Macaca mulatta: one gene and its partners. The protein of the gene in region 1 purifies or fractionates together with the protein of each later gene. This does not show direct contact. Links are inferred from orthologs where the notes say so. Each region holds a gene or a part of one and is shown in the gene's direction. Other genes may lie near its edges. The genes, in order: DRG1, LRRC41, LARP7 and NTMT1.

Evidence for each region.
Region 2: the proteins of DRG1 (region 1) and LRRC41 purify together in Homo sapiens (affinity purification with mass spectrometry; 3 studies listed by BioGRID and IntAct, counting the BioPlex papers as one, with this or other methods). This does not show direct contact. The link is inferred for Macaca mulatta from reciprocal best matches to the Homo sapiens genes DRG1 and LRRC41.
Region 3: the proteins of DRG1 (region 1) and LARP7 purify together in Homo sapiens (affinity purification with mass spectrometry; 3 studies listed by BioGRID and IntAct, with this or other methods). This does not show direct contact. The link is inferred for Macaca mulatta from reciprocal best matches to the Homo sapiens genes DRG1 and LARP7.
Region 4: the proteins of DRG1 (region 1) and NTMT1 purify together in Homo sapiens (affinity purification with mass spectrometry; 3 studies listed by BioGRID and IntAct, counting the BioPlex papers as one, with this or other methods). This does not show direct contact. The link is inferred for Macaca mulatta from reciprocal best matches to the Homo sapiens genes DRG1 and NTMT1.

The regions. Positions count from the first base shown.
Region 1 is NC_133415.1:20,088,655-20,096,025, reverse strand, and holds part of DRG1 (developmentally-regulated GTP-binding protein 1), read left to right. Parts: intron 1-4,247; exon of another isoform or gene 4,248-4,306; coding exon 4,307-4,476; exon of another isoform or gene 4,477-5,563; intron 5,564-7,026; exon of another isoform or gene 7,027-7,093; intron 7,094-7,371. UniProt on the Homo sapiens protein: Catalyzes the conversion of GTP to GDP through hydrolysis of the gamma-phosphate bond in GTP. Appears to have an intrinsic GTPase activity that is stimulated by ZC3H15/DFRP1 binding likely by increasing the affinity for the potassium ions.
Region 2 is NC_133406.1:194,277,443-194,284,813, forward strand, and holds part of LRRC41 (leucine-rich repeat-containing protein 41), read left to right. Parts: intron 1-3,898; exon of another isoform or gene 3,899-3,978; intron 3,979-4,090; coding exon 4,091-4,177; intron 4,178-5,129; coding exon 5,130-5,200; intron 5,201-7,371. UniProt on the Homo sapiens protein: Probable substrate recognition component of an ECS (Elongin BC-CUL2/5-SOCS-box protein) E3 ubiquitin ligase complex which mediates the ubiquitination and subsequent proteasomal degradation of target proteins.
Region 3 is NC_133410.1:121,875,579-121,882,949, forward strand, and holds part of LARP7 (la-related protein 7), read left to right. Parts: intron 1-66; coding exon 67-231; intron 232-311; coding exon 312-405; intron 406-473; coding exon 474-824; intron 825-916; coding exon 917-1,061; intron 1,062-1,100; exon of another isoform or gene 1,101-1,168; intron 1,169-1,230; exon of another isoform or gene 1,231-1,298; intron 1,299-1,396; exon of another isoform or gene 1,397-1,465; intron 1,466-1,573; exon of another isoform or gene 1,574-1,641; intron 1,642-1,708; exon of another isoform or gene 1,709-1,784; intron 1,785-2,790; coding exon 2,791-2,942; intron 2,943-3,722; coding exon 3,723-3,841; intron 3,842-6,360; coding exon 6,361-6,520; intron 6,521-7,371. UniProt on the Homo sapiens protein: RNA-binding protein that specifically binds distinct small nuclear RNA (snRNAs) and regulates their processing and function.
Region 4 is NC_133420.1:17,994,014-18,002,102, reverse strand, and holds the start of NTMT1 (N-terminal Xaa-Pro-Lys N-methyltransferase 1), read left to right. Parts: upstream 1-3,925; 5' UTR 3,926-4,065; exon of another isoform or gene 4,066-4,175; intron 4,176-4,206; exon of another isoform or gene 4,207-4,308; intron 4,309-6,618; exon of another isoform or gene 6,619-8,089. UniProt on the Homo sapiens protein: Distributive alpha-N-methyltransferase that methylates the N-terminus of target proteins containing the N-terminal motif [Ala/Gly/Pro/Ser]-Pro-Lys when the initiator Met is cleaved.

The DNA.
Region 1 (7,371 bases):
AGCTAGAATGATTGTGTATAAGAAGTCAGATCAGTCTAGGCATGATGGTTCATAATTGTAATCCCAGCACTTTGGGAGGCTGAGGCAGGCAGATCACTTGAGGCCAGGAGTTCCACATTATCCTCGCCAACATGGTGAAACCCCATCTCTACTAAAAATACAAAAATTAGCTACTTGGGAGGCTGAAATGGGAGGATCACTTGAACCTGGGAGGCGGAAGTTGTAGTCAGGTGAGATGCCACTGCACTCCAGGCTGCGTGACAGAGTGAGACTGTCTCAAAGAAAGCAAACAAAAAGAAGTCAGATTATGTCATTTCTTGGCTGTATCTTCTGATGTTTTCCCGTATTATTTGGGATGACACCCAAAGTCTTTACCGTAAATGACCTGACCCCTGGCTGCCTCTCTGACCTCTTTTCTATCACTTCAGTCACTGGGCCTAAGATATCACTGGCCGTCCGTGCGCGGTGGCTCACAGTCTGTAATTGCAGCACTGTAATTCCACAGTCTGTAATTCTAGCACTTTGGGAGGCCGAGGCAGGCGGATCACGAGGTGAAGAGATCGAGACCATCCTGGCCAACATGGTGAAACCCCACCATTTTTATTAAAAATATAAAAATTAGCTGGGCATGGTAGCGCGTGCCTGTAGTCCCAGCTACTTGGGAGGCTGAGGCAGGAGAATTGCTTGACTCTGGACGGCAGAGGTTGCAGTGAGCCGAGATCGCACCATTGCACTCCAGCCTGGTGACAGCAAGACTCTGTCTCAAAAAAAAAAAAAAAATAGCTGGATGTGGTGGTGTGTTCCTGTAGTCCCAGGTGTTTGGGAGGCTGAGGTGGGAGGCTCTCTTGAGCCCAGGAGGTCAAGCTGCAGTGAGCCGTGATCATGGCACTGCACTGCAGCCTGGGCAACAAACAGAGACCCTGTCTCAAATAATAATAGTAATAATAAGGTCAGGCGTGGTGACTCAAACACCTGTAATCCCAGCACTTCGGGAGGCTGAGGCGGGTGGATCACCAGGTCAGGAGATCGAGACCATCCTGGCCAACATGATGAAACCCCGTCTCTCTACTAAAAATACAAAAATTAGCTGGGTGTGGTGGTGTACGCCTGTAGTCCCAGCTACTCAGGAGGCTGAGGCAGGAGAATCGCTTAAACCTGGGAGGCGGAGGTTGCAGTGAGCCGAGAGATCGCACCACTGCACTCCAGCCTGGCAACAGAGCAAGGCTCCGTGTCAAAAAATAATAATAAAAATAAAATCATGGCCAGGCATGGTGGCTCACGTCTATAATTGCAGCACTCTGGGAGGCTGAGGCGGGTGGATCACTTGAGGTCAGGAGTTTGAGACCAGCCTGGCCAACATGGTGAAACCCTGTCTGTACTAAAAATACAAAATGTAGCCAGGCATAGTGATGCATGCCTGTAGTCCCAGCTACTTGGGAGGCTGAGGCAGGAAAATAGCCTGAACCGGGGAGGTGGAGGTTGCAGTGAGCTGAGATCATGCCATTGCATTCCAGCCTGCATGACAGAGTGAGACTCCATCTAAAAAATAATAAATAAAATCAGGCTGGACATGGTGGCACATGCGTGTAGTCCCAGCACTTTGGGAGGCTGAGGCGGGCAGATCACCTGAGGTTGAAAGTTTGAGACTAGCCTGACCAACCTGGAGAAACCCTGTCTCTACTAAAAATACAAAATTAGCTGGGAGTGGTGGCCCATGCCTATAATCCCAGCTACTTAGGAGGCTGGGTCAGGAGAATTGCTTGAACCCAGGAGGCGGACGTTGTAGTGAGCCGAGGTCTCACCATTGCACTCCAGACTGGGCAACAAGAGTGAAACTCTGTCTCAAAAAAAAAAAAAAAAAAAGTCTTACCACTGAGGCTGGGCATGGTGGCTCACGCCTGTAATCCCAGCACTTTGGGAGGCCGAGGTGGGCAGATCGTGAGGTCAGGAGTTCAAGACCAGCCTGAACAACGTGGTAAAACGCCATCTCTACTCCATCTCCAAAGGAAAAAAAAAAAAAAAAAGAATGAGGGTCAGGTGCAATGGCTTATATCTGTAATCCCGGCAGTTTGGGAGAGTGAGGCAGGAGGATTGTTTGAGGCCAGGAGTTCAAGACCAACCTGGGCAACATTGCAAGACCCTGCCTCTACAAAAATTAAAAAAGAAAAAATAGTCATGTGACATGGCACACATGTGTAGTCCAAGATATTCAAAGAGGCTGAGGCAGGAGGATCAGTTGAGCCCAGGAGGTAGAGGTTATAATGAGCTATGATCATGCGACTGCACTCCAGCCTGAGTGACAAAGCAAAAGCCTTTCTCTTCAAAAAAGAGAATTTAAAAAAATGAGGAACTAGAAAGTTGATGGAAGCAGAATTTTTTTTTTTTTTCCTGAGATGGAGCTGTTACCCAGGCTGGCTGGAGTGCAGTGGCATGATCTCGGCTCACTGCAACCTCTGCCTCCCCGGTTCAAGCGATTGTTGTGCCTCAGCCTCGTGAGTAGCTGGTATTACAGGTGTCCACTACCACGGCCAGCTAATGTTTTATTTATTTACTTATTTTTGGAGATGGATTCTTGCTCTGTTGTCCAGGCTGGAGTGCAGTGGCGCAATCTCAGCTCACTGCAACCTCTGTCTCCCGGGTTTAAGCGATTCTCCTGCCTCAGCCTCCCAAAGTGCTGGGATTACAGATGTAAGCCACTGTGCCTGGCCAGTTTTTGTATTTTTAGTAGAGTCGGTTTCACCATGTTGACCAGGCTGGTCTTGAATGCCTGGCGTCAGGTGATCTTCTCGCTTCAGCCTCCCGAAGTGCTGGGATTATAGGCGTGAGCTCCCATTCCCAGCTGGAAGCAGAATTTTTTTTTTTTTTTTTGAGACGGAGTCTCGCTCTGTCGTCCAGGCTGGAGTGCAGTGGCCGGATCTCAGCTCACTGCAAGCTCCGCCTCCCGGGTTCGGGCCATTCTGCTGTCTCAGCCTCCTGAGTAGCTGGGACTACAGGCGCCCGCCACCTCGCCCGGCTAGTTTTTTGTATTTTTTAGTAGAGACGGGGTTTCACCGTGTTAGCCAGGATGGTCTCGATCTCCTGACCTAGTGATCCGCCCGTCTCGGCCTCCCAAAGTGCTGGGATTACAGGCTTGAGCCACCGCGCCCGGCCTGGAAGCAGAATTTTTGACAAATGAATTTTAATATAGAAATAGGCCAGATACTGTGGCTCATGCCTGTAATCTTGGCACTTTGGGAGACCAAGGCAGGAGGATTGCTTGAGGTCAGGAGTTAAAGGCTACAGTGAGCTATGATCATGCCACTGCACTGCAGCCTAGGCAATAGAGTGATACTCTGTCTCAGTCAATATAAATATAAGTATGTATTAATAAAAATAAGATATTCAGGCACAAAATACTACATTTTTTTTTTTTTTGTACAGATTGAATCTTACTTTGTTGCGCAGGCTGGTCTCAAACTCCTGGCTCCAATCAGTCCTTCTGCTGCAACCTCCCAAAGTGCTAGGATTATAGGCAGGAGCCACTGTGCTGTGCCAAAATAATATATTTTATATGATTTCATTTATATGAAATTCTAAAAAGTGCAAACTATGGTGGCAGAAAGCAGATCAGTGGTTGGCTGGGAATAGTGGGGAAGATTGAAAGGAGTTAGTTACAAAGGAATGCTGTAGGTGATGGAAATATTCCGTGTCTTGATTGCTTAGGTGGTTACACAGGTATATACATTTGCCATCGAACTGTGTGCTTTAACATGGATATAATTAAAAAAAAGTTGTACCTCATTAAATTTGGTTTAAAATATGCTAACCAAGGGTGGGCGCAGTGGCTCACGCCTGTAATCCTAGCCCTTTGGGAGGCTGAGGTGGGTGGATTGCCTGAGCTCAGGAGTTCAAGACCAGCCCAGGCAACATGGTGAGGAAATCCCATGTCTACTAAAATACAATTAGCTGGGCATGGTGGCACGTGCCTGTAGTCCCAGCTACTCGGGTGGCTGAGGCAGGAGAATCGCTTGAACCCGAGAGGAAGAGGTTGCAGTAAGCCAAGATTGTGCCACTGCACTCCAGCCTGGGCGACAGAAAATGTATCAACTCTTGGGCAAATATGTGCTGATTTCATGGCATACAAGGCAAATTGACTTCTGGTATAACTCTTTTGTAGCTATAAGAACTTCGTGTATGTATGTATGTATGTATTACAAAAAAATCCTTTGACACTTAAATGTAGGGGGAAAAACACCTCTACTTGAGTATTTGGGTTAGTTAAGGCTTTATTGAACTTTCTTGGGTATGTTTTTTTCTTACTCTTCAGTGGCCCGAACCTGTAACTTGATCTTGATTGTTCTGGATGTCCTGAAACCTTTGGGACATAAGAAGATAATTGAAAATGAGCTGGAAGGCTTTGGCATTCGCTTGAACAGCAAACCCCCCAACATTGGCTTTAAGAAGAAAGACAAGGGAGGCATTAATCTCACAGCCACTGTAAGTGGGGAAGACGACATGGGGCAGGCTGCTGCAGGAATAGGAGTGGGGAGTGGATTAGGGTGCATGGACATTGACATTGGAAAATTTCTTGGCTTTTCCCTGCACTAATTGAGATAGCACAGTGACTTCATAATGACTGACAAGAAAGACTTCAAGATTAGGGTAGGAGCCAGTCTCAGACTTACCTTTGCTGCTTATTTCCTCTTTTGGATTATCTATTAGGGATGATATGGGAGTGTGAACCAATATTATGCTTGCATAAAGTACATGGCCGCCAATGTCTTCTGTTTTCATTCATTTAACACAAATTTATAGAGTGCCTACCATGGGCCAAGCATTATTTTAGGCTCTGAGCAGGAATGGAAGAGGGAATAGTGAAACCCCCTGCTTTTATTTTCTAGTTGGATAGAATAGCAAATATTAATGAGTAAAATATAATGTATTAGTCAATGATAAATGTGAGAACACAAAGTAGGGAAAGGAGATAGAGTGTTGGTGTGAGGGTTGCGGTTTTAAGAACGTTGGTCAGGGAAGTCTTCACTGAGGTAACATGAAGGTGTGAACCAAGTGGATATCTTGAAGAAGAGCATTTGCTTCATGCAGAGGAAACGTCCAAGTGGAAAGGTACTGAGGCAGGGCATGTCTTCCCATGTTTGAGGAACAGCAGAATGAGCAAGTAAGAGAGTAGTAAGAGATGAAGTCATAACATAGGGACATATGTGCTTTTACTTTACAGGAGATGGGTAACTTGGTTGAGTTCTGACCCACAAACATGATTTGACTTAGGTTTTAGTGGAATAATTCTGACTCTTATGTTGAGAATAGATTGCAGTAGGTTAAGAGCAGAAACAGAAATAATTTAAGAGGTTATTGCAATAACCAAGAAGTGATAGCTTCCTGGACCAGGGTTGTGACAGTGAAGGAGTTGAAAAGTGGTTGGTTGTGGAAAGATTTTGAAATAGCTGATAGTAATTACATCTGGATTGGGTATGCATTGTGAAAGAAAGAGTCAGAGATGCCTGTTTTGTTTTTTGTTTGTTTGTTTGTTTACTTATTTAGAGATGGAGTCTCACTCTGTCTTGCTCTGTCACCCAGGCTGGAGTGCAGTGGCGCGATCCTGGCGCACTGCGACCTCTGCCGACCAAGTTCAAGAGATTCTTCTGCCTCAGCCTCCTGAGTAGCTGGGATTACAGGTGCCTGCCATTGTGCCCGGCTAATTCTTGTATTTTTAGTAGAGACGGGGTTTTACCATGTCGGCCAGCCTGGTTGATCTCATTCTGTCGCTTAGGCTGGAGTACAGTGGTACAATCACTGTTAGCTCAAACTCCTGGGCTCAAGTGACCCTCCTGCCTCAGCCTTCTAAGTAGCTAGGGCTATAGTCACATGCCTCCAGGCTTGGCTTTTTTTTTTTTTTTTTTTTGGTAGAAACGGAGATTTGCCATGTTGCCCAGGTTGATCTTGAACTTTTGGCCTCAAACTATCCTCCTGCTTTGGTCTCCCAAAGTGTTGGGATTACAGGTGTGAGCCACCATACCCAGCCACTTTTTTTTTTTTTTTTTTTTGTACTGAGCTAAAAAAAAAAAATGAACTCTTTTTACTAAAATGGTAGGACTTTTGGTAGAGTAGGTTTGGAGGGAAGGAGAAGATCAGGATGTTAAGTTTTAGATGCCAGTTAGACATCTAGGTGTTTCTGTCAAGAAGGCATGTGGGGTAGGTTGGGCACAGTGGCTCATGACTGTACATCTATAATCCCAGCACTTTGGGAGGTTGAGGCAGGAGGATCACTTGAGCCCAGGAGTTCAAAACCAGCTTGGACAACAAAGCGAGACCCCATCTCTACTAAAAAAAAAAAAAAAAGGCATGAGGAATTATTTAGGCTGCATGAGGAATTACCTAGACTGGATATATAAATTTGGTGATTATCAACTTTAATGTCATGGACCTAACTGAGATCACCAAGGATGTGAGTATAGATAGAAAAGAAAAGAGAGTCAGGCGTGGTGGCTCATGCCTGTAATCCCAGCACTTTGGGAGGCCAAGGCGGGCAGATCACAAGGTCAAGAGATCGAGGCCGGGCGCGGTGGCTCAAGCCTGTAATCCCAGCACTTTGGGAGGCTGAGACGGGCGGATCAGGAGGTCAGGAGATCGAGACCATCCTGGCTAACACGGTGAAACCCCGTCTCTACTAAAAAATACAAAAAACTAGCCGGGCGAGGTGGCGGGCGCCTGTAGTCCCAGCTACTCGGGAGGCTGAGGCCGGAGAATGGCGTAAACCCGGGAGGCGGAGCTTGCAGTGAGCCGAGATCGCGCCACTGCACTCCAGCCTGGGTGACAGAGCCAGACTCTGTCTCAAAAAAAAAAAAAAAAAAAAAAAAATCGAGACCATCCTGGCCAACATGGTGAAACCCTGTCTCTATTAAAAACACAAAAATTAGCTGAGCATGGTGGCACACGCCTGTAATCTCAGCTGCTCAGGAGGTTGAGGCAGGAGAATCGCTTGAACCTGGGAGGAGGAGGTTGCAGTGAGCCGAGATCACACCACTGCACTCCAGCCTGGCAACAGAGTGGGACTCCATCTCAAAAAAAAAAAAAAAAGAAAAGAAAAAAGAAAAGAGAATCGGCCAGACACAGTGGCTGATGCTGAGGCTGAAGTGGGCAGATTACCTGAGGTCAGGAGTTGGAGACCAGCCTGGCCAACATGGCAAAACCCTGTCTCTACTAAAAATACAAAAATTAGTCAGGCATGGTGGCACGCGCCTGTAATCCTAGCTACTTGGGAGACTGAGGCAGGAGAATCGCTTGAACCCAGGAGGTGGAGGTTGCAGTGAGCTGAGATTGCGCCATTGCACTCCAGCCTGGGCACCAAGAGAGAAACTCCGTCTCAAAAAAAAA
Region 2 (7,371 bases), on another chromosome or scaffold:
GGGCTGAATGGAAGTGAACGGGGGCCTCAGGCCTGAGAGCGGCCGGGACCAAAGGGCCGGGCCTGGGTGGAGGGCGGCCTGGGGCGCCGGGATGAACGGCCGGGGAGGGCGAACCGGCCAGTTGGGCTGGGAGGCGGGGCTGTGGGTTGGGGACCGCCGGCCACGGCCTGGCCACTGACGAAGGAAACGAGTCCGCGACGTGGGGCTAGTGAAAGAGGGAAAGCGAGGCTCTGCCAAGCAGGCCTGGCCGCGCTGGGGATAGGGGAGGCCTCGGGCCTGCGAGGCTGCTGGTGTTGAGGGTGGGGTCCGGAGGCCGGGGCTGGAGTTGGGCGAGGAGGTGGCAGGCCCGGCCAAGGCCTGCCGGGGAGGGTGGCAGGAGAACAGGCCCCGGGCCTGGAGGCGGCGCGGGGGAGGTTCCACCAGGAGGCCTTGCGGGTGGCCGTGGCGTCTTTGCAGGAGGAAGGCCCTGGTCAGGACAGGAGTGAGGACTTTGAGGACTCGAGGTTGCAGGGCGGGGGGTTTGAGTTATGCCATGAGGAGGGGGTGTGGGGAAAAGGCCCTGGAGTTTGGGGGCGCTGCAGCTCCGGGATAAGCTGGAGGGTGGTCGGGGAGGGCCTTGGCTGTGGGAGTGGAGCCCAGTACGGTGAGGCCGGAGTGTCCTGCATAGTGGTAGTGGAAGAGGCTGTTAGAAGTTGGGCCTGTGTGCGGAGGGGACACTGGAGGCTCCAGGCCAGCCAGAGGCTGAGAAGACAAGGGGCAGGCCCACCCATGGCGAACATGAGGAAAGTCTCCGTTCTGAGCTGAGCAGGGAGCTCAGAAAAGTCCTAGGGCATGGGGAAGAAGGCAGACGGGGTCTGGCTTGTCTGCCTGGAGCTTCTGGGATGCTAAGACTGGCTAAAAAGGAAGATGACTGGGTGTGGAGGCCCAGGTTGGGAAGCAGCAGCATTAAAGGTGCAGGCTAGAAAGAAGCCAGGAAAATCCCGGCTTAAGAAGAATGGAGAAAGGAGGGGATGAGAATTCCTGTGGCTGTGAGAAGGGATGGCTAACTAGAGGAGAGCAGGTTGGAGGGGCTCTGAGGAACTTCTTCCCCTGTTGCTTCTTCCCCCCAAAACAATTGACAGTTTACTGAATCTCCATTTCCCCTTCTCCCTCCCCCATCACTGCTGTATATACCACCATCCCATTACTGGCTGAGCCCCCAGCGAGGTTGAGAGGAGACAGGGGAGGAAGAGCTCCTGTGGGCCTAGACCAGAAAAAGCTGAATCAAGTGAGGCCTTTTAGGAGAATAGCCAAGGAAGAGGCCTGCTAAGCATTACTATTTTGGAGGAAAGTCTCAGTGTGGGCTAACAGCCAGGAAAGTCTTCCTGGAGGTAGTGAACTAGCATCGCTTTGTGTAAGGAGTTGGGGCAGCAGAGGTATAGAGGCAGCAGGAAAGGGTACAATGAGGAAACTTAAGTAGAATAAGGTATACTATACCTTGAATACCAGGATGTGGAGTTTGGACTTTATCATGAATGCAGCAGAGAGACCTCCAAGGGTTTCGAAGAGGGTAATGTCATCACCAAGAGCAGGATGAAGAGGGACTGGATAGAGACTGAAGTGAAGGAGAGCAGTTAAGCTGTTGTAATAGACCAGATGAAAGGTGATGTGGACTACATTCGTGTGTAAAAGCATAGGGAATTAACACTTTCATTCAGCAGGTACATTGAGGACATACAATGTACAAAGAATTATACTAGATTCTTGATGTCAAGATTCAGTTATTCTGTAAATAAAAATAAAAAGAGACCCTGGGGCGGAAGTTTTGGTATACTCCAAGATCTTAGACTTGTTCTTTTTCTTTGAGATGGGGTCTCACTCTGTCACCCAGGCTGGAGTGCAGTGGCATGATACCAGCTCACTGCCACCTCTATCTTCTGGGCTCAAGCAATTCTCCCACCTCAGCCTCCCAAGAAGCTGGGACCACAGGTGTGCCCCACAACACCCGGCTAATTTTCTCTGTATTTTTGGTAGAGACGGGAGTTTCCCATGTTGCCCAGGCTGGTCTCAAACTCCTGGGCTTAAGCAATGTCCCCCACCTCGACCTCCAAAGATTACAGGGATTACAAGTGTGAGTTTGACTTGTTCTTGATTGGACAGAGATGCCACTGACAGGATAAAAATAACAACCAACATTTAGTGAGCTTATTATGGCTGGGCATTATTTTAAACAGATTATAAGCATGATCTTCCCAACAATATCATGAGTTAATTACTGTTATCTCCATTTTATTTTATTTTTGAGACAGAGTCTTGCTCTGTCGCCCAGGCTGGAGTGCAATGGCGCCATCTCAGCTCACTGCAATCTCTACCTCCTGAGTTCAAGCGATTCTTGTGCCTCAGCCTCCCACGTAGCTGGGATTACAGGCATGCATCATTACACCTGGCTAATTTTTGTATTTTCAGTAGAGACGGGGTTTCACCATGTTGGTCAGGCTGGTATCAAACTCCTGACCTCAAGTGATCTGCCTGCCTTGGCCTCCCAAAGTGCTGGGATTACAGGTGTGAACCATTGCATCCCACCTATTTTTTATTTTTTGAGGCAGGGTCTTGCTCTGTCACCCAGGCTGGAGTGCAGTGGTCTAAGCACAGCTCGCTGCAGCCTCAACCTCCTGGGCTCCAGCCATCCTCCCACCTTAGCTTCCCAAGTAGCTGTGACCACAGGTGCACACCATCACACTCTGCTAATTTTTGTTTTGTTTTGAGATGGGTTCTCACTCTATCACTTGGGCTCAAGTACAGTGGTGTAAGCATAGCTCACTGTAGCCTCGAACTCCCGAGCTTAAGCGATCCTCTTGTCTTAGACTCCCAAAGTGCTGGGATTACAGGTGTGAGCCACTGTGCGTGGCCTCCATTTTTTTCCAGTTGAAGAAACAAAGGCTTAAAGAGGCTTAAATAATTTGTCCAAGGATTCACATTTAACTAAATAGTTAGAATTTCACCCAGATTTTTCCTACTCTAGAGGCCAAACCCTTTAGACACTATACTATAACAGCTCTTAGAACTAGAGAAGTTGGCAAGAGCAGGTTGTTTTTAAGATATATTGACTTTTGGCTGGGTGCAGTGGCTCACGCCTGTAATCCCAGCACTTTGGGAGGCTGAGGCAGGCGGGTCACGAGGTCAGGAGATCGAGACCATCCTGGCTAACACAGTGAAACCCCGTCTCTACTAAAAATACAAAAAATCAGCCGGGCGTGGTGGTGCGCTCCTGTAGTCCCAGCTACCCAGGAGGCTGAGGCGGGAGAATAGCATGAACCCGGGAGGCGGAGCTTGCAGTGAGCCGAGATCGCGCCACTGCAGCCTGGGCGACAAAGCGACACTCCATCTCAAAAAAAAAAAAAAAAAGGTATATTGACTTTAGAGACATGAATTGTTTCTCTTCTTCATAGGAAAGTACTAATTCAGGATATAGCAGTAGCCCAAAGGATGGTAGTGGTTAATCTGGAAGAATGGGAAGGGAATTCAGGAAAGACTTAATAAAGGGCATGTGATACTTGAAAGATGAGTAGTTGATATAGTGAAAGTGGCAATGACATTCCTATTAGAACAGCATGACAAAGGACATTCCTGTTGGAAAGAACAGCATGACAAAGGTACAGGGGCAGAAAGCAGCATGTTAGGTAAATGAAAAAGTAGTTAAGTGTGGCTGAAATGTAGGAGGCAAAGCAGGGAGCTGATACTAGCAGGGCAGATTATGAAAGACCTTTTATCACACATATTCAGTAGGTGCTTTTCAATGCAAAATGGTTCATTTTGCTTGGGCAAAGTGAACTGACCAGCTCCTAAAAAGCATGTCAAGCTCATTTAGCATGTCAGCTTGTTTTGTGGGATGATCTCACCCTGGCCCCTGAAATTCCAGCTTCCAACTGAGTGGCTGAAGATAAGTGGACTAGAGTTTGGAACAGATCTAGATTAGCTTCTAGAGGCTCCATTTGTCAAGTGAGAAGTCTACCCTTCCATTTTCCTTTCCAGTAGAATAAATAATGCTTGGAACCCTCTTGAGGGGGAGGGGGAGGGGAGGAAAAGTAAACTTTTGTTTTGATTTTTGTAGCCCTCCCAGGCCCAATACTTCAAAGCATCCTACCTCTGCTCAATATATATTACTTGGAGAGGATTGAGGAAACTGCCCTCAAGAAAGGTGAGTATCTTTCTGTCTCTTTCTCAGTCAATGATTATGAGCAAGGCACCATAATGTTCTTCAGGTAAATATTACACCTGATACCTGCTAGAACTTCATGCTTTTTTTTTTTTTTTTTATACGGAGTCTTGCTTTGTTGCCCAGGGTGGAGTGCAGTGGTGCAATCTTGGCTCATGGCAAGCTCCGCCTCCCGGGTTCACACCATTCTCCTGCCTCAGTAGTAGTAGCTGGGACTACAGGCGCCTACCACCACGCCCGGCTAATTTTTTTTGTATTTTTAGTAGGGACGGAGTTTCAACGTGTTAGCCAGGACAGTCTCAATCTCCTGACCTCGTGATCCACCTTCCTTGGCCTCCCAAAGTGTTGGGATTACAGGCTTGAGCCACCGCACCTGGCCTTAGAACTTCATGCTTTTCAAAAAGTACCTTCACACCTATTTTTCTTCCTCATTCCTCAGTGTCCTGTGAAACACAAAGCCAAGTATATGATCTTTATTATACTGATAAAAGTGAGACACAGGCACACCACAATTAATAGCAAAGCCAGAACAACCCAGATCTTCCGAATCTTAGTTTCTCTATTTTACCAAGCTTCCTCCGCTCATTAGACACATCTGTTAACAGCTAACATTGAACCCTAATGTGTCAAGCACTGTCCTAGGCACTTTACCTAGAAAAACTCATTTACTCTAATCCTTTCAACAACCCTATGAAATAGCTGTTATTAACATTTTACAGATGAGGAAACTGAACCACAGAGAAATTAAGTAACTTGCCCAAAGTCACATAGCTGGAGTGTAGTTTGCTGATATTCACACCCAGGCAATCTGTCTTTAGAGCCAATGTTCTTAATCACTCTGCCATATTGCTCCTGTGAACCCGGAGGACAACATTAAAGGTTGATGTACTTATGGTGGCCAGCAAGCAGCCAAGTGTGATATTTCTCCTTACAGGCCTCTCCACTCAGGCCATCTGGCGCCGACTCTGGGATGAACTGATGAAGACACGGCCTTCCAGTTTGGAAGTAAGTTATCAGGTAGAACACTAGCCTGATTTTGCATGGTAAAAGCAGGAATAGCACACAAACACAAGCTGGGTACTGGTAAAGTGCAGAGGCAGTGATGGAATGGATGTGGGAGGAGGGCTCTGATGGCTTGTCACAAGGTTTTGGTCCATTTGGCATTTGTCACTGAATTGCTTGCTCACCATATTTGCAGGGGACACAAAACAGGGAAAGTTAGTGATCACAATGGATGGCAGAGCCAGGATTCCTAGAGTTCTTGATGCAGTGGTCAAATCTAACAAAATGAAATTTAATAGAATACACCAATACTTCAATGAGTTTTAAAAGTTCCAATTGCATGGCCTCAGGATGTGGGATAAAGTAGTCTGCTTAGTAACAGCTTGTATAAAAAAGATTAAGGGAGTTTAGTCAACAATATGTTGAAGCCACTCATAATGACTATACCTTGAGCTGTGTGAACTAGTGTAAATATAGTATAGGCTGAAGGACAAGGTGGACAACAGTCAACAGTCCTGCCTAGCTCTGCAATGGTCAGGCTACCCATGGAGTATGGAGAAAGAAGTCAAAGCCACATTATGTGAGTCAGATTGGGAAGACTGGAGATGTTTTTCCTGAAAAAGAGAAGACTTGGGAAACATGACCCATCTTGAAATATATGAATGGCTGTCACATGAAGGAGGGATTAATAGACTTGTTCTGGATGGAAGCTAATGGAAAATACATTTTTGCTAACCTGAAGTTTATGTAAAGCTTAAACCCTGAGCTTATGAAACAAGCTAATTCTAGAGGTAATAAACTTCCCATCACTAAGTTCAAATGGAGTCTGGATAACTCCTTGACACATAGGTGTTCTGCAGGGGATTCAGCATTGTAAAAGGGGTTGCACAAGATGACTTTTAGGGCTCCTTTTAGCCCTGGGATTCTATTATTCACTGATACAGATATAAATCACTGGAGCTCTCATTTAAGCAGAGCTTCTTTTACTCCCCCATAACTAGGTGACGGGGTAGATTTAATTCAATAAACATTTACTGAAACTTAACCAGGTACCAGATCTTGGAAGAATAGATGCAGCCTCTAATCTTTTTTTTTTTTTTTTTTTTTTTTGAGACGGAGTCTCGCTCTGTCGCCCAAGCTGGAGTGCAGTGGCCGGATCTCAGCTCACTGCAAGCTCCGCCTCCCAGGTTTACGCCATTCTCCTGCCTCAGCCTCCCGAGTAGCTGGCACTACAGGCGCCTGCCACCTCGCCCGGCTAGTTTTTTGTATTTTTTAGTAGAGACGGGGTTTCACCGTGTTAGCCAGGATGGTCTTGATCTCCTGACCTCGTGATCCGCCCATCTCGGCCTCCCAAAGTGCTGGGATTACAGGCTTGAGCCACCGCGCCCGGCCGCCTCTAATCTTAAAGACCTACCAGTTGTTTTGTTTTGTTTGAGACAGAGTTTCACTCTTGTCGCCCGGGCTGGAGTGCAATGGCTCAATGCAACCTCTGCCTCCCGGGTTCAAGCAATTCTCCTGGCTTAGCCTCTCGAGTAGCTGGGATTACAGGCATGTGCCACCACACCCAGCTAATTTTTTTGTATTTTTAATAGAGACAGGGTTTTTCCATGTTGGTCAGCTGATCTCGAACTCCTGACCTCAGGTGATCTGCTCGCCTTGGCCTCCAAAAGTGCTGGGATTACAGGCATGAGCCACCGTGCCCGGCAAGGACCTACCAGTTTAATAGGGAAATCTACAAATAGATCACATATGATAGGATAAGTGGTGTAACACAGGATAGTAAGGAGGTTGAGAGACAACAAGAAAGTCTCTTCTAGGAAGTAGTATTTGAACTGGGCCTTCTATGGTGAATGAGGCCAAATAACAGGTGGAAAAAAAGCTAATGTCAGGAATTGGAGATTTAATTTCTGGGGATGCACTGGGTTCAGTAACATTGAGCCCCATCTCCTTCAGCTTATTCACTTCCAAATCTGGACTGCAACCCTTGAAGTTCAGAATGAGGACACCAGGCCTTATGAGGAAGAGAAGCAGACTCAAGAATATTAGAAAAGAGTAACTGCTTTTTGCTATCTTTAAGGAAACATCAGATTCACTTTGTTCCAGTATTTCACAAGCAGTATAGTTGACCAGCAGGTGATAAAGATTATATTTTTCTCTTGGAGAAAGCTTTCTGG
Region 3 (7,371 bases), on another chromosome or scaffold:
TTATTGACATTCTGAAAATATAAGCATTGCAAAAAACTATTTAATATTGCTTTTAATTTATCACAGGAGTTACTTCCCAAAAATGTTAATCACAGCTGGATTGAAAGAGTCTTTGGGAAATGTGGCAATGTTGTTTATATCAGTATACCACATTATAAGTCTACTGGAGATCCAAAGGGATTTGCGTTTGTGGAATTTGAAACAAAAGAACAAGCAGCAAAGGCAATTGAGGTAGGTCCAGATCCTAGAAAAAAAAAATGTATAGATATAACAAGTATTAAAATAGTAAAACTTTTTTTCAATCATTTCAGTTTCTTAACAACCCACCAGAAGAAGCACCAAGAAAACCTGGCATATTTCCTAAAACAGTGAAAAATAAGCCCATTCCAGCCTTAAGAGTTGTGGGTGAGTATTTTTCAATATTTAAGTAGATGTAATTGAAGTAAGATGAACTAATGATGGCACTTTTACAGAAGAGAAGAAAAAGAAAAAGAAGAAGAAGGGCCGAATGAAAAAGGAAGACAATGTCCAAGCCAAAGAGGAAAATATGGACACAACCAACACCAGCATCAGTAAAATGAAAAGATCCAGGCCCACATCTGAGGGCTCTGACATTGAGTCTACTGAACCCCAAAAGCAATCCTCAAAGAAAAAGAAAAAGCGGGACAGAGTTGAAGCATCGAGCTTACCTGAAGTCAGAACAGGCAAGAGGAAGAGAAGCAGCTCTGAAGATGCAGAGTCCCTGGGTCCGCGATCAAAAGTAAAGAAAATTATTCAGAAAGACATCATTAAGGAACCTTCAGAAGCTTCCAAGGAAAATAGAGGTAAACTGCAAGGTTTTATTTATATAAATTAAGCTTCTGTTTCACCCATTTCACAGCCGCAAGTCTTAACTGGCTTTTTTATTTATTTCAAGATATAGAAATCTCTACTGAAGAGGAGAAGGATACTGGAGATCTAAAAGACAGCTCTCTCTTAAAAACAAAAAGGAAACACAAGAAAAAACATAAAGAGAGACATAAAATGGGAGAAGAAGTTATACCATTAAGAGTACTATCAAAGTAAGTCTGTGGTTTAAATCCTGTCATTAGCTTAACAATCCATCACCATTGCTAAAGTGCAATTCCAATTTGTGTTCAACAGAGTTGCATATTAGCAACAGTAGTGGCCTGTAGCAAAGAACTGCACACAATGTGGGCGTTAACGCAATCGATGATTAAGTAGGAACCACCACACTCAAACATGGAAGCACTTATTTTTGTCTTACCACAGCAAGTGCCTCCATGTTAAAGTAGAGGGGGCACCTTAACAGACTTAAAAATACAAAATAAAGCTTAAATAAACGAGAATAAAATCCTTTTCTAAAAACCTTATAAAAATGTAAAAGGAAGACTTACCATCACCAAAACATGGAAGCACTTACTTCTTTAGTTTCAAAGCAAGTACATCCACGTTTAAGTGGTGGGAAGCCCAGTCTTGGACAAACTTAGAATCCTTTAACCTGTAACAAGCTTAGTAAGCTTGAAACACAGTAACAAAAAAAATTAACAAAAGGTGTGCTGACTTGGAGACACCTCCACTGAAACATGGAAGCACTTACTTTTGTTTCACACAGCAGGTACCCCCATGTTAAAGCAAAGGGGATCCCTTCAACCTCTTAAGGAGAGTGAAGTTAGCATGTTCTATTTTGGAGAAGTAAGTTGGATTCACTCCTACTAAAACATGGAAGCACTTACTTATTTTAAAGTCACAGAAAGCACTTCCATGTTAAAGTTGAAGGGAGCCCACCCACATACAACTTCTTTGGGACTTGAGAGTAGTTAAAGCTGAGGAGAAAGAAAACAAAATGGCATACCTTTTGAAGAAAAATATTTCCTTACCTTCCTGAATTAGTTCCCAAAGATTCCTGTCCTCCTCCAGAAGGGTAAAAGGCAGGGACTTCAGCCACTTCTATTTATACTATTCTTAACTCCTGAATTCCTTTTGCCTTTTTATCTCAGAGAATCATTACAAGGGCCTTTTGTTATTTTAATGTATCAGCTCTTGGGGAATGTATGATCCTGGGTGGGTCTGGATCCTTTTTTTTTTTTTTTTTTTTTTTTGGAAGTATACAGATGTCAATGTTAACAGCTAAAACCATTACCACAAGATATCTTCCTCTTTAAAAAAAAAAAAGGAAAATCTATCTGCTTGTTTGATGGCATAGATTAGGGTAACAATGAGTGCTCCCACTAAGCCAAGAGAGGCATTGTGTTTCTATCTGGAGGAACTCTAGCTGTTTGAAGAAACATCTACATGTTAAATATATGTAAATAAATAGAATGCTTCCATGGGGTGTTTTGTTCTACTTAGAAATTCTTTTTGATTCAAGTAAATACTAAGGAATGTTATCTCTCAAATTGGAAGCAGTTTAACAAATCTTTAATCTCGGGCTTTTCCCACAGAGATGACTGATTTAGTAAATGTTACTAGTTAAGGAATCAATGCTAAAATGTTACTTTTATAAATTAAAATACTTCAGACACACTCAAAAATGTAATTGGCAATCTTAAAACGTTTAATCTGAATATTGGGGGAAGAGGAACTCCCTTAGCTTATTTGCTAAATGTCTTTAGAACCCAGGAAATATTTTGAATATGTGTTTAAAGAAACAAGAAAGTTGGGTGGAGGAGTTACTCCAAGTCATTGTGAATGTATATATTTAGATATTCCCATATTTACTTTTTATATTTTAATATTTTTTTTTATATTTAGTCGTCTATAATCACTATTTCATTTCTTTCCTTGCAGGAGCGAATGGATGGATTTGAAAAAAGAGTATTTAGCGCTACAAAAAGCTAGCATGGCTTCTTTAAAAAAAACAATATCCCAAATAAAATCAGAGTCAGAAATGGAAACAGACGGTGGAGTACCTCAAAAGACTGGAATGAAAAATGAAAAAAGTAAAGATCACTGATAGTTTTGACTTATAATGTACAGTTTTGACTTATAATGTACTTATGTATGAAAATGCTATCTCTGAGTTGTTACAAGATAAACTTTAATTTTAAAAAACTTGATTATTCTGTGTCATTATTAGAACAATTCTTGATTTGTTAAGTTATCCAGATATGTTATTTACTCTTGATATAAGAACATTTAAAAGGCTCATTTAAAACAATTTTTTAAATAACCTGAGTTTTCTCTACAGTTTTCATTTAAGCACATGAGTGCAGTTTGTAGACTGAACAAGTTTGTAGGAATGAAGATTGTAGTTCTCACCTGTAATTTCATTCTGTAGTATGAACCACAAGCAGGAATAAGTTAAAGCAAAATTCTTACGAATTCAAAATTAGGATACATCTTAAATTATCATTTCTTGTAAAAATAAATGATGCTCACGTTGGAATAATTATTTAAAACAGTATCCTATAATTTTTTTTTAACTTTATTGAGTTAAAATTTGCTGTTCCTTTGTGCAGGGAGAAGGGGCAAACTTAAAGACTACCAGTGCTCTTCTAGCAGTAACAGTTTGCATGTAGAATAATAAACCTTTCTGGATTTTATTTCATGGTATTTTGAAATAAGCAGTATGACATATAAAATAAACTTTATTTTAAAATTAAATACGTTTTAAATTATTTAAATCTGCCTCAGGAATTATTCTAAGATAGTCCTCCCAAGTATTAAATTGTTAAGTGTAAGAGATTTAGTGCTGGTCTTTTTCCTCTTCTAATCAACAGCCAACAGTGAAGAGTGTCCCACCCAGGAGAAAGTTAATGCAACAGGACCACAGTTCGTGAGTGGAGTGATTGTGAAGATCATTAGCACAGAGCCTCTACCTGGCAGGAAACAAGTCCGGGTAATGATTTTGAGCCCGTAGGGTATTTGTTCCTTTCTTGTCTTAACTTCCCTGTGTGATAATGTTTTGAATATGGAAGATAAATCAAATTAGAATTTGTATCTCTATGGTAAACTACCTGTACAGTTTTAATTCCATGGTAACTCTTAGGTTTAATTTTGAAGCAAAAACTAGAGACTGAAATTCTTCACTGAGTCCATTTTATAGTAAGCACAGTTTAAACATCCTTCTTTATAGGAAAATTGTAACTTTTGCTTATTTTTATTGGCACGGATTTATTTTTTTGTATTACCTATGTGCTGATTATCTTTAAAATTGTAATTATAGAAAAGTGTAAAATATTTTTGAAGACCTATAGAAATCTTTCACACATGTGCCAAAAAACCCATAGTTCTATATAATTTACGCTACAAATTGCTGTACACACAGGTTTATAATCTTTTTTTCGTTTTGTACAGTCTATCTTCTATAGCCTTTTATACCACACTGGTAGCAATACTTCTTTCTATTAGGGAAAAGTAAGTATATACTTTTATGTGAGAGTACCGTATCTTATTTACCCTTACCCTGCCTGTGACCCATTTAAGTCAATCCTTTTCTTTTTAAAAAGTGTGAAATGCTCTGTAACATACCACATATTTTAAGTATTTTCTTATACTGACATTCATCATCACTTAGTATATTGTTTTGGTTTCACATAGACTCATCAGTCACAGGTTTTAACTTGAATATCATTGAGGTGGTTGTTTATCTGTAAGCACTCCTTATCTGAAATGCTGTCCTACAATCCTATAGCTGTCACTAAGAAACAAATTTTGATTCTCTTTCCAATATTGGTGAAGGATTTGGCCAAATCCAAATTGCTATTACCAACTTGCATTTCAGGAGACAGCTGAAAATTGAGGGATGTAAATACCGCTCTGGTTAATCAGATTGCAAAACATTTAATAAAAAAAATTACTCAGTTATTTGTAATCACTCATTAAATAACTTTTATTATTTAAATGGTAACTATATCAATTACAAATTCATCATTTATGATCATCAAAATCATAAAATCAATCCCTGCATTAATCCAGTTAGTAGTTACTTACATTTTGCTGAAACAAAAACTGAGCTGTGATGGTGGTTACAGCTGTCTGTGACTTGCCCATGTGATTACTAGGCTAATTTGTCCTTCTATGGGTTTTAAATTCTGAGGGTTTTAAATCAAGAGATTAGCCTGACATTATAATGGATATTTAGTAAATATCTTTTGAGTTGTAGTAATTGAATATGCTCAGAAGTCAGTTATAAAACTCATTACTAGTACTGAATGCATTCAAATTTCAACAATACTGAATTTTTTACTTGCTTTATATCTAAATTTGGTACTAATTAATTAGATAAAGAAGTGGGAAGGACTAGCAAGTATATGTCTCTGCAGTTCTTTTTTTTTTTTTTAATTTGGCAAACAGTTACCAAATGCCTGTTTTGTGCTAGTTTGCTGAGTGTTGGGATGAGTTAAGATCTGGTCCCTGGCTTCTAGAAATTCATAGATTTTATTATATATTTTTTATTGTTAACTGATAAACTTGTCTTATTCTATGATGAAATAATACTCCCAGGTATTGCTCAATTCTTTCCATAAATCAAACATCTAAAAATTCAACATTTGAACATAATCTAAATTAGTTGTGTCCTGAAAATGTAGGTTAAAACTAAAGTGAGGCAAGATAAGAAAGATTTTTTTCCCCCATTTAGGAATCTGCAGTTATTTCTTTAGCTTTGTGAATGGAAGTTGATGAATTAGGAATTAGTGTAACATTCCTGCATAAATGCATTGTATACTCTGTAAAACCTGCTGTGAGGGAAAAAAAAAAAGTTGATTAAGAATGCAGGAATCTGGTTAATTTGCCCTCACAGCAGGCAGTGTAGGTAAAACTTTTCCTTGCTGGGTGACCACAACTTGTTTAGAAGAGGTTGCTTAGGTATTTTTTTCAGAAAGTAAGAGCTCTTGAACAATTTGGAAACCTAGTATCTTAGGTTCAGTAAAACTGTTTTTCATGAGTTGTTATTAAAAGTTGAGTGATTTGTACACATATTTTAAAGTCATAGTGATTTTCTGCAGGTGAGTAAAAACAAACCTCCCTTAATCCTTTTTTTTTTTTTTTAAATTTTATTCCTTATACTAACTACTCCCAGATGTGAACCCTTCCTGATTTGGGGATTGGGGGACACTATTTCTGCTTTCTGCTCTACAAATCTGTTGTCCTTATAGAATATTCCCATTCTAGTTCAGATTTTACGGATGTGATTTCAAGAAAATAAAGGAAAATAAATTGTTAGAGTTGATATTATTCAAATCTATTTTTAAGAACATGCTTTACAAGAAATGTTTGATATAGGATATTTGCTCCTCATTAGTCTGCAAAATGCTTTATTTACATAATATATTCTGGCATAACCATTGGAATAGTTTTAGAATTATTGTGAAACATTTTAAATTTTATTTGTCTTTCTACTTAATTCTAATGCAGGATACTTTGGCAGCAATCTCAGAAGTTCTTTATGTTGATTTGCTTGAAGGGGATACAGAATGCCATGCTAGATTTAAAACTCCTGAGGATGCTCAAGCAGTAATAAATGCATATACAGAAATTAGCAAGAAACACTGCTGGAAACTCGAGATCCTTTCTGGTAAAACTTCATAGAAGTGTTTTTTTTTTTTGTAACCATCCTTATTGTGGGTAACATTTTCTGAGTTTGGCTAATGAAACTAGTTTTGTTTTTTGTTTGTTTGTTTTTTGTTGTTGTTTTTTTTTTTTTTGGTCTCACTCTGTCGCTCAGGCTGGAGTGCAGTGGTGTGATCTCAACTCAACGCAACCTCCACCTCCCAGGTTCAAGTGATTCTCCTGCCTCAGCCTCCTGAGTACTTGGGATTACAGGCGTGTGTTACCACGCCTGGCTAATTTTTATATTTTTATTTTATTTTTTGAGACAGAGTTTCGCTCTTGTTGCCCAGGCTGGAGTGCAATGGTATAATCTCAGCTCAGTGCAACCTCTGCCTCCTGGCTTCAAGTGATTCTCCTGCCTCAGCCTCCCAGGTTAGCTGGGATTACAGGCATGTGCCACCTTGCCCAGCTAATTTTATGTTTTTGGTAGAGACGGGGTTTCTCCATGTTGGTCAGCCTGGTCTTGTCTTGAACTCCCGACCTCAGGTGGTCTGCTTGCCTTGGCCCCCTGAAGTGCTGGGATTACAGGCATGAGCCACTGCACCAGGCAATTTTTAGTAGAGATGGGGTTTTGCTATGTTGGCCAGGCTGTTGTCGAACTCCTGACCTCTGGTGATCCTGCCTCCTTGTCCTCCCAGAGTGCTGGGATTAGAGGTTTCAGCCACCGCACCTAACGAAACTAATAATTTTATTTCTATTCTGTAATATGTATAAAGTGGCATTAAATATAATCAAAAACTGTCCTAGTTCTGTTACTGAGAATGTAATGCCTTGAATATGGTTTTTCAGATGTGTTCTTCTTTTCATCCATCAGAG
Region 4 (8,089 bases), on another chromosome or scaffold:
CACTGCACTCCAGCCTGGGTGACAGAGACTCCATCTCAAAAACAGTAATAATAATAATGATTCAAGGCCTGGGTGCTAGGTGTGCTTCTTGCTATTGAGATGTCATTTGTTTCAGGCAGTCTCAGCTGGCAGACAAAGAAATGTGCGTGTTTACTATTACACACACAGATCTATAAATATTTCTATAGGTAACCATCTGTACTTATATTAAGCTAAACATGAGCTCATGCTGACATCTCCAACTCTAATCCATTACACGGATCATTTGAGACTCTGTCTCAAAAAAAAAAAAAAAAAAAAAAGAGGCCAGGTTGCACTGGCTAATGCCTGTAATCCTAGCACTTTGGGAGGCCAAGGCAGGCGGATTGCCTGAGCTTGGGAGTTCGTAACCAGCCTGGGCCACATGGTGAAACCCCGTCTCTACTAAAATACAAAAAAATTAGCCAGGTGTGGCAGCGTGTGCCTGTAGTCCCAGCTACTTGGGGGGCTGAGGCAGGAGAATTGCTTGAACCCGGGAGGCAGAGGTTGCAGTGAGCTGAGATCGCGCCACTGCACTCCAGCCTACAGAGTGAGACTCCATCTCCAGAAAGGAAAAGAGAAGAGAAGAGAAGAGAAGAGAAGAGAAGAGAAGAGAAGAGAAGAAAGAAATTAACATACCCACTTTCAAGTCCATGGTCTGCTGTTTTGCTGTGTGATACTGGAGAAGTGTCTTTTTTCTCAGGACTCCCTGGGCCTTATCTCTGAGTCTTGGCTGGGAGAGGGCCGAGAGGAAGCTCATAGAGTATTGTGAAGCTGGGGTGGGAGACAAAGGTCATTTACATGAGTATTTCACTGGCATGGCATAGTTTCATAATTTGAAAATGAAGAAACGACTTTGTAATTCAAATAACAGAGTGACTCACTAGAGGACACATCGCCAAAGATGTATTCTATTTTCTGTCAATGCTTCTCACCAGGGATGGAGGGACATACTTTCTTGGAGAGCTACAATATTGAGTGGGGGAGGGAGATATTTTTGTATTTATTTAAAGGGTATGTGACTTTTTTTAATGGCTGAGAAACACCAGATTAACTAGATGGTTTTTTGTTTTTGTTTTTTTTTGAGACGGAGTCTCGCTCCGTCAGCCAGGCTGGAGTGCAGTGGCGTGATCTTGGCTCACTGCAAGCTCTGCCTCCCAGGTTCACGCCATTCTCCTGCCTCAGCCTCCCGAGTAGCTGGGATTACAGGTGCCCGCCACCACACCCAGCTAATTTTTTTGTATTTTTAGTAGAGATGGGGTTTCACCGTGTTAGTCAGGATGGTCTCAATCTCCTGTCTCAATCTCCTGACCTCGTGATCCACCCGCCTCGGTCTCCCAAAGTGCTGGGATTACAGGCATGAGCCACCACACCCGGCCTAACTAGATGTTTCTAAAGAGCCCTCCAGACCTTGCACTCTGCAATCATTTATCAAGCAACTACTATGTGCTAGGCTTGGGAATTCAGAGATGCCAGAGGCTTTGAGGTCAGGGAGCTGGCCAGCCCTGGGAAGGCCTTGGAGTCTGGGTGTGGGGAAGGGGCTTGCTCTTCTGTTGACAGGAAATAAGATAGGGCTGGATTTTTAGGCATGCAGAGTTTGGACCAGAGCTGCCCCCTGGTGGAGGATTCCAGACACCCCCAGCAATTGAAATTGCCCAGGATCAATTCCTTTGCGTAGAGACACAGAAAATGAAGCTTGCTCAGACCAGGGGTAGCAGTTAGGACCTAGAATAGTCTAGAAGGGATGCCAAATAATATGCACATACACACGTTCTGCGGACTCAATGCAGATGTGGCTTTTTGGCATCCCCTTTCTCCCGTAGCTTTCAGTACATTTAGAGCAAACACACTTTAAGCACCTTCTGTGTGCACTGCTCAGAGGAAGGCATTGGAAACCTAACACCAGAATATTATTATTTTATTTATTTTTGAGATGGAGTTTTGCTCTTGTCACCCAGGCTGGAAAGCAATGGTGTGATCTAGGCTCATTGCAACCTCCACCTCCCAGGTTCAGGCGATTCTCCTGCTTCAGCCTCCCGAGTAGCTGGGACTGCAGGCATGCACCACCACGTCTGGCTAATTTTGTATTTTTAGTAGAGACGGGGTTTTGCCATGTTGGCCAGGCTGGTTTCAAACTCCTGACCTCAGGTGATCTGCCCGCCTTGGCATCCCAGAATGCTGGGGTTACAGTTGTGCACCACTGCACCCTGCCAAAACCAGGATGTTATTAATAGTTTAGGAAAAATGACCTTAGGGTGAATATTGTCATTATAATAGCTTCCATTTCCTGAGAACCCACTGCAGGTGCTGAGCTGAAGGTCTGGTGTGCAGTGTCCCACAAGTTTAATCCTCTCAGAGCATCAGAAGTTGAGTAATGATTACATTGCTCCACTTCTTCTGGCAGGAGACTGAAGCTCGGAGATGTTAACAGGCTCTACCCACCTGCAAGCTCGTGTTTCCATCACTGCTGCCTCGGAGATAGCTCCAGAATTTCTTTGCATGGGAGGAGCCGAGGGAAGGGCCATGCTTTTGGAATGGAAATTTCATGGGCTTGTTCTGCTTATTTGGGTGGGAATCCCATGGCACTGCCAAGAGTATTTTTTATTTTATTTATTTTTGGGGGGTCGGTATTATTTTAAGATGCTAATGGAGATGGGTGGATTTGAGGACCAATGGCTTTTTTCCCCTTCTTACTCAAAGCCCAGCCTGCAGCCTCCAAACGAACTGTTGTTCGTGATGGGGATGAAGAGAGGGCAACGCCGCGGCTCTTTTCAGTTCGGGAGGTCCTTCCAGATTCCCAAAAGTCAATTTAGTCAAGTTTTGAGCTGTAACCTGTGTTGGGCGCGGTGGCTCACGCTTGTAATCCCAGCAGTCTGGGAGGCCAAAGTGGAAGCCTTGCTTGAGGCCAGGATTCAAGATCAGCCTGGGCAACAGGGTGAGACCCCGTCTCTAATTTTTTTTTTAAAGAAGTCAAATTAGGCCGGGCGCGGTGGCTCACGCCTGTAATCCTAGCATTCTGGGAGGCCGGGGCGGGCGGATGACGAGGTCAGAAGATCGAGACCATCCTGACTAACACGGTGAAACCCCATCTCTACTTTAAAAATACAAAAAAAATTAGCTGGGCGTGGTGGCGGGCGCCTGTAGTCCCAGCTACTTGGGAGGCTGAGGGAGGAGAATGGTGGGAACCCGGGAGACTGAGCTTGCAGTGAGCTGAGATAGGCCACTGCACTCCAGCCTGGGCAACAGAGCGAGCCTCCGTCTCGGAAGGAAGGAAGGAAGGAAGGAAGGAAGGAGGGAGGGAGGGAGGGAAGGAAGGAAGGAAGGAAGGAGGGAGGGAGGGAAGGAAGGAAGGAGGGAGGGAGGGAGGGAAGGAAGGAAGGAAGGGAAGGGAAGGAAGGAAAGGAAGGAAGGAAAGGAGGGAGGGAGGGAGGGAGGAAGGGAGGAAAGAAGGAAGGAAGGAAGGCAGTCAGTCAAATTAGGCTGGGCGCAGTGGCTTACGCCTATAATCCCAATACTTCGGAAGGCAGAGGCGGGAGGATGACTTGAAGTCAGGAGTTCGCAACCAGCCTGGCCAACATGGTGAAAACCCGTCTCTACTAAAAATACAAAAATTAGCTGGGTGTGGTAGCTCACACCTGTAGTCCCAGCTACTCTGGAGGCAGAGGCAGGAGAATCGCTGGAACCTGGGAGGCGGAGGTTGCAGTGAGCCAAGATCGCGCCACTGCACTCCAGCCTGGTTGACAGAGCAAGATTCTGTCTCAATTTAAAAAAAAAAAAAAATTAAGTTAAATTATTTTTCAAAAGAAGTCAGGCTAAATCCGGAGCCCGCGGGAGGGGGGCGAGCTGAACGAGGAGGTGGGGCCAGCCGTGGCCCCGCCCCTAAACGCCCGGAAGTGACGTTAGCGGACAAAGGCAGCGCGCGCCGCGAGCTGTCGCGTCTGGTCGTGGTGTGGCGGAGCTGCGGTTACCTTGTGGGGTCTCCGCCGCTGCCGCCCTCCCTTCCTCTTCCCCATCTTCTTCTCTCGGTCCCGGGAGCCCCCGCGCGGAGTGAGTAGCGCGAGGCGGTGCGAAGGGTAGGCAGCCGCCGGGAGAGGGGAGGCCGCGACCCCTAACTGCTTCGGCGCCCTGTGGGCCCCGGCTCGTCACGTGACCCGGCGCGTGCGCGAGGGCCGGCACGGGCCCCACGTGCGCGTTCCCAAGCGGTCCACGGGCCGGACCTGGGCAGGGACTACGGAGCAGTCAGTCCATGGGTTGGGGTACAGGAGGAAAGTCAAGGCACTCAAAGCCCAGGCAGGGCACTCCCCCACCCGGGTCCCCAGACCGCAGCAAATCCCTTTCTCTGAGCCTGTTTCCCCTCCGAGAAACAGGGATATGGAGAGCGCCCACTCGGAGGATGGATGGGAGGAATCGGTAAAATGCCCAGTTCAGAGCCTGGCACAGTGAAGTGCCCGTTGCACAGAAGTTGCCGTCGTATTTAACCTTGGGTCCCGCCCCAGCGCCAGCCCGACACAGGTGCAGCTCAAAAAAGACACCCCCAGAACCCTTGCGGCCAAGGTCAGCCTGTCTGCAGGGAGGCTGCCATATCGAAAAGCCCAGGCTTTGCTGCCCACCAACTGTGTGATCTCTCTCTCTGGACTTCGGTTTCTCCTCTCTATTGTTAAGTGATTGCCACAGCTGGTGTCAGAGGCCCTGACAGCGGGGAGGGACAGTGTAACCGGTGGTTGTGGTGTGTAGAATGATTGCCCAGTGAGATGGGATGAGCCTCTGGGAGGAACCAGGGCTGGGATAAGGAGCCTGGAATCCCTCCTTAATTCTGTTCTCGGCTTCCTGTTCGTATGTTTAAAGACACATCGTTTCCTTTAGTGTGCTGGTTTTTCTCTCTGTAAACTGAGGACTGCGTGGGGGTTGGAAGTAACGCATGGAGTGTTTTGGTGGAGGCCGGAAGCCCTGGGATCACAAAGATAGCATCTAAAAAATCTCGGTGGGGGTTCTGTGCTTACAGACAGAGGAAGCTCACTCCTCACTCTGGCTGATTTGCAGAGCTGTTTGAGTCTGCTGGATTGGCCGCCCAGCATACCAGTAACAGTCCCCTAGGTGTGTCCAACAGTACAGCTTCTATGGCATTCTAAGGCACTTTTCCCATTTGATCCTCATAGTGCGCAGAGTTGACAAGAATCTCGTTTGACGGAGAATTTCTAAGCTCAAGAGAGAATATGTGCCTGGCACTGTGCAAAGCACTTTAAGCTTTTCGTGTGCACTTTTAATCACAGGCTTTCTGTAAAGTCGGTATTACTGCTCCATTTTATAGATGAACTGAGGAATGGTGAGGTTTGATGTCTTATCTGAGCTTAACACAGCTGGTGAGCAGAGCCAAGATTCAGATCTGGTTCATCCGACTCCATCAGAGTCTTTGTTAGTTTTTAAATGTATCCCCTGTTTTGTCTTCTTCCCTCCCTTTTTCCCTTCTTTCCTTTTCTTAGAGCACTCTGCCATTTGCATGTGGCCTGCTGCTGTCCACAAAGATCCAGGGAGGATGGGTTCTGTCCTGTAGGCTGCTAGAGGGTGGAGGTCACTTTTAGGCAGGCTTTTCCGTAGAGACTTAACATGAGTAGGATGAGATGACTGCAAAAGTCTGCCGGTGACAGTTTCAGCACCGTTTTCTTCCATGGGTCGTGGGAGAAGAGACGCAGTAACTGGGGCAGCTGCGTGGGTCTGAACACCTTGGCGGGGAGGAGGAGGCAGCAGCTAGGTGACCGTGAAGGATGTAGGATCACATTTACTGGCTGAGCAGGCATTTACCAGGCGTGAGGGGTTTCTCTTCCTCTCTGAGCTAGCCTAGAGTTCACACAAAGCCAGGGTGCTCCTGGCCTCCTCCCAGGCCCTGCAGCCACATGGCATCTGTCCTCTGGAGCAGAGTGTAGCAGGACCTCCTGCTGTTGGCCGACCGACCTTGCTGTTCCCTCGGACTCTTAGGGACCTCCTCCTGCCCCACTGCAATCTGGACAGAATGTAGCCAGGACCCTAGGAATCCCATTTATTAATGAATCAGCTGTTAGGACAAATGTCAAAGTCAGGCTCGCTATTTCCCTGCCAATATGTGCCTCCCCTGGCTTTTTCCTAGAATTTGCGTGTAGGTGGAATTCTTGTAAATTAGATTATTTGGGGGACCCTGACATTTAAAGGAATCATGTTACAAGGCTTTTGGTAAAGCACAAAATTATGTTGTCGGTAACAGCCTTCAGTATTACCAGTTTTGAATGGTTGGACTTTTGTCTGTAGGATTTTCTTAGAAGTGGAAAATGGCTATAGCTGCACAAAGCCCATTGTATTATTTGGCAACCAATTAGTCAGTGCCCACCTGGTGTCAGGCACTGGTCTAATCGATACGCGTTTGCCCTCAGATTTATTCTGTTCATTTGATCAGAGATTAACTTTCTGTTGAATATCTGTGTTTCGTGGGATGCAAGAGAAGCATAGTGATAAATCTCAAATGTTGCCATTGCTCTCTAGGAGCTCCCAGGCCAGGCGAGAGATAGAACTGGATACAAAACCTTCAGTTTACCAAGACTGGTGGGTGGTGAGAGGGAGACGGGCTTGCTCTCGCCGTGCTCCAGTCTGAATGGGAGTTGTGCTAGCATGGTGTGGAAGAGTAGTATTTCGTTTTTTAACCTTTGTCTTTAATTTTCCCAGCCACCAAGTGTTTTTTATTTTTTGAGACAGGGTCTCGCTCTTGTCTAGGCTGGACTCAAACTCCTGTGCTCAAGCAGTCTTCCCACCTCAGCCTCCCAAAGTGCTCAGATTATAGGCATGAGCCACTGCACCCAGCTGTAGTTTTGAATGCCATCCTCTCTGAGTGACTGATGGAGGGCTGTGACATGGTTGCTCTGGTGCCTGCTGGCAGAGGGGCAGGCAGCCCACCTGACCTGGTCCTTACCCCGTCAGACCATAGCAGCCACCAAACCCGGCTACATGGTGACATTCAGGTTGGTGGCCCTTTTCCCCGTCAGCCACCATGGCAGATCTAGCAGTCTTGAGGATTGGCAGGTCTGGTGGGAACAAGAATTAATTCTTCTTTTTTTGACACACTGTCTCACTCTGTTGCCCAGACTGGAATGCAGAGGCAGGATCATGGCTCACTGCAGCCTTGACCTCCCAGGCTCAAGTGATCCTCCCACCTCAGCCTCCCTAGTAGCTGGGAGGTACTAGAATGTGTGTGTTTTTGATAGAGACGGGTTTCTGAGCCATAGGCTGCTTTCTCCTTCCAGCAGTGTTGTTCCCAGTGCTGGGAGACCAGTGTGGGAGCTCTGTGGTCAGCTTGCGGGGAAGGTGTTATGTGCAATAAGTAGAACTAAGGTCCTCCCCAGCCTGTTACCCCAAAGGGCTCCCTGATTGGTGCAGTGATGGCTGCCTTTCTTCATTGTGGCCCAAACCCTGTGTGTGAACGGTAAAGTGAGGGGTCAGTCTGCGAGTGGATTCAAGAATCTGAAGAGGGAAGCCAGGCCCAGTGTCATACGCCTGTAATCTCAGCTACTTGGGAGGCTGAATAGGGAGGATGGCCTGAGCCCGGGAGTTTGAGGCCAGCCTGGGCCACATAGCAAGACCCCATCTCAAAAAAACAAGAATCTGAAGAGAGGTTTAAGTAGACTTCTCTAGGCACAGCCAAAGGGTTCTGCTGAGGGTGAAAAGACCCAATCACGGATCTAAGAAGAACCGGGCCCCGGTAGAGCACATGGGTCTTGTCAGCTCTCTCTGGACCCTCAGAAAGCTGGCGTGTGACTTTGTCAGTGAAGAAAGCTCAAATCTGCTGAAGGAGTCAGGCACGGTGTTGGAGAGGAGGGACCCCGTCCCCTCTGTTCTCAGCAGCCACAACAGGCCTTTCCCTGTTGCCCCCACTGGCTGGCTGGGTCTCCGGAAAAGGCTGACCAGTTACAGAAGGAGAATTGCATCCGTTAGAAGTCGTCTTTTTTTTTTTTTTTTTTTGGATACGGAGTCTTGCTCTGTCGCCCAGGCTGGAATGCAGTGGCGCGATCTTGGCTCATGGCAAGCTCCACCTCCTGTGTTCAGGCCATTC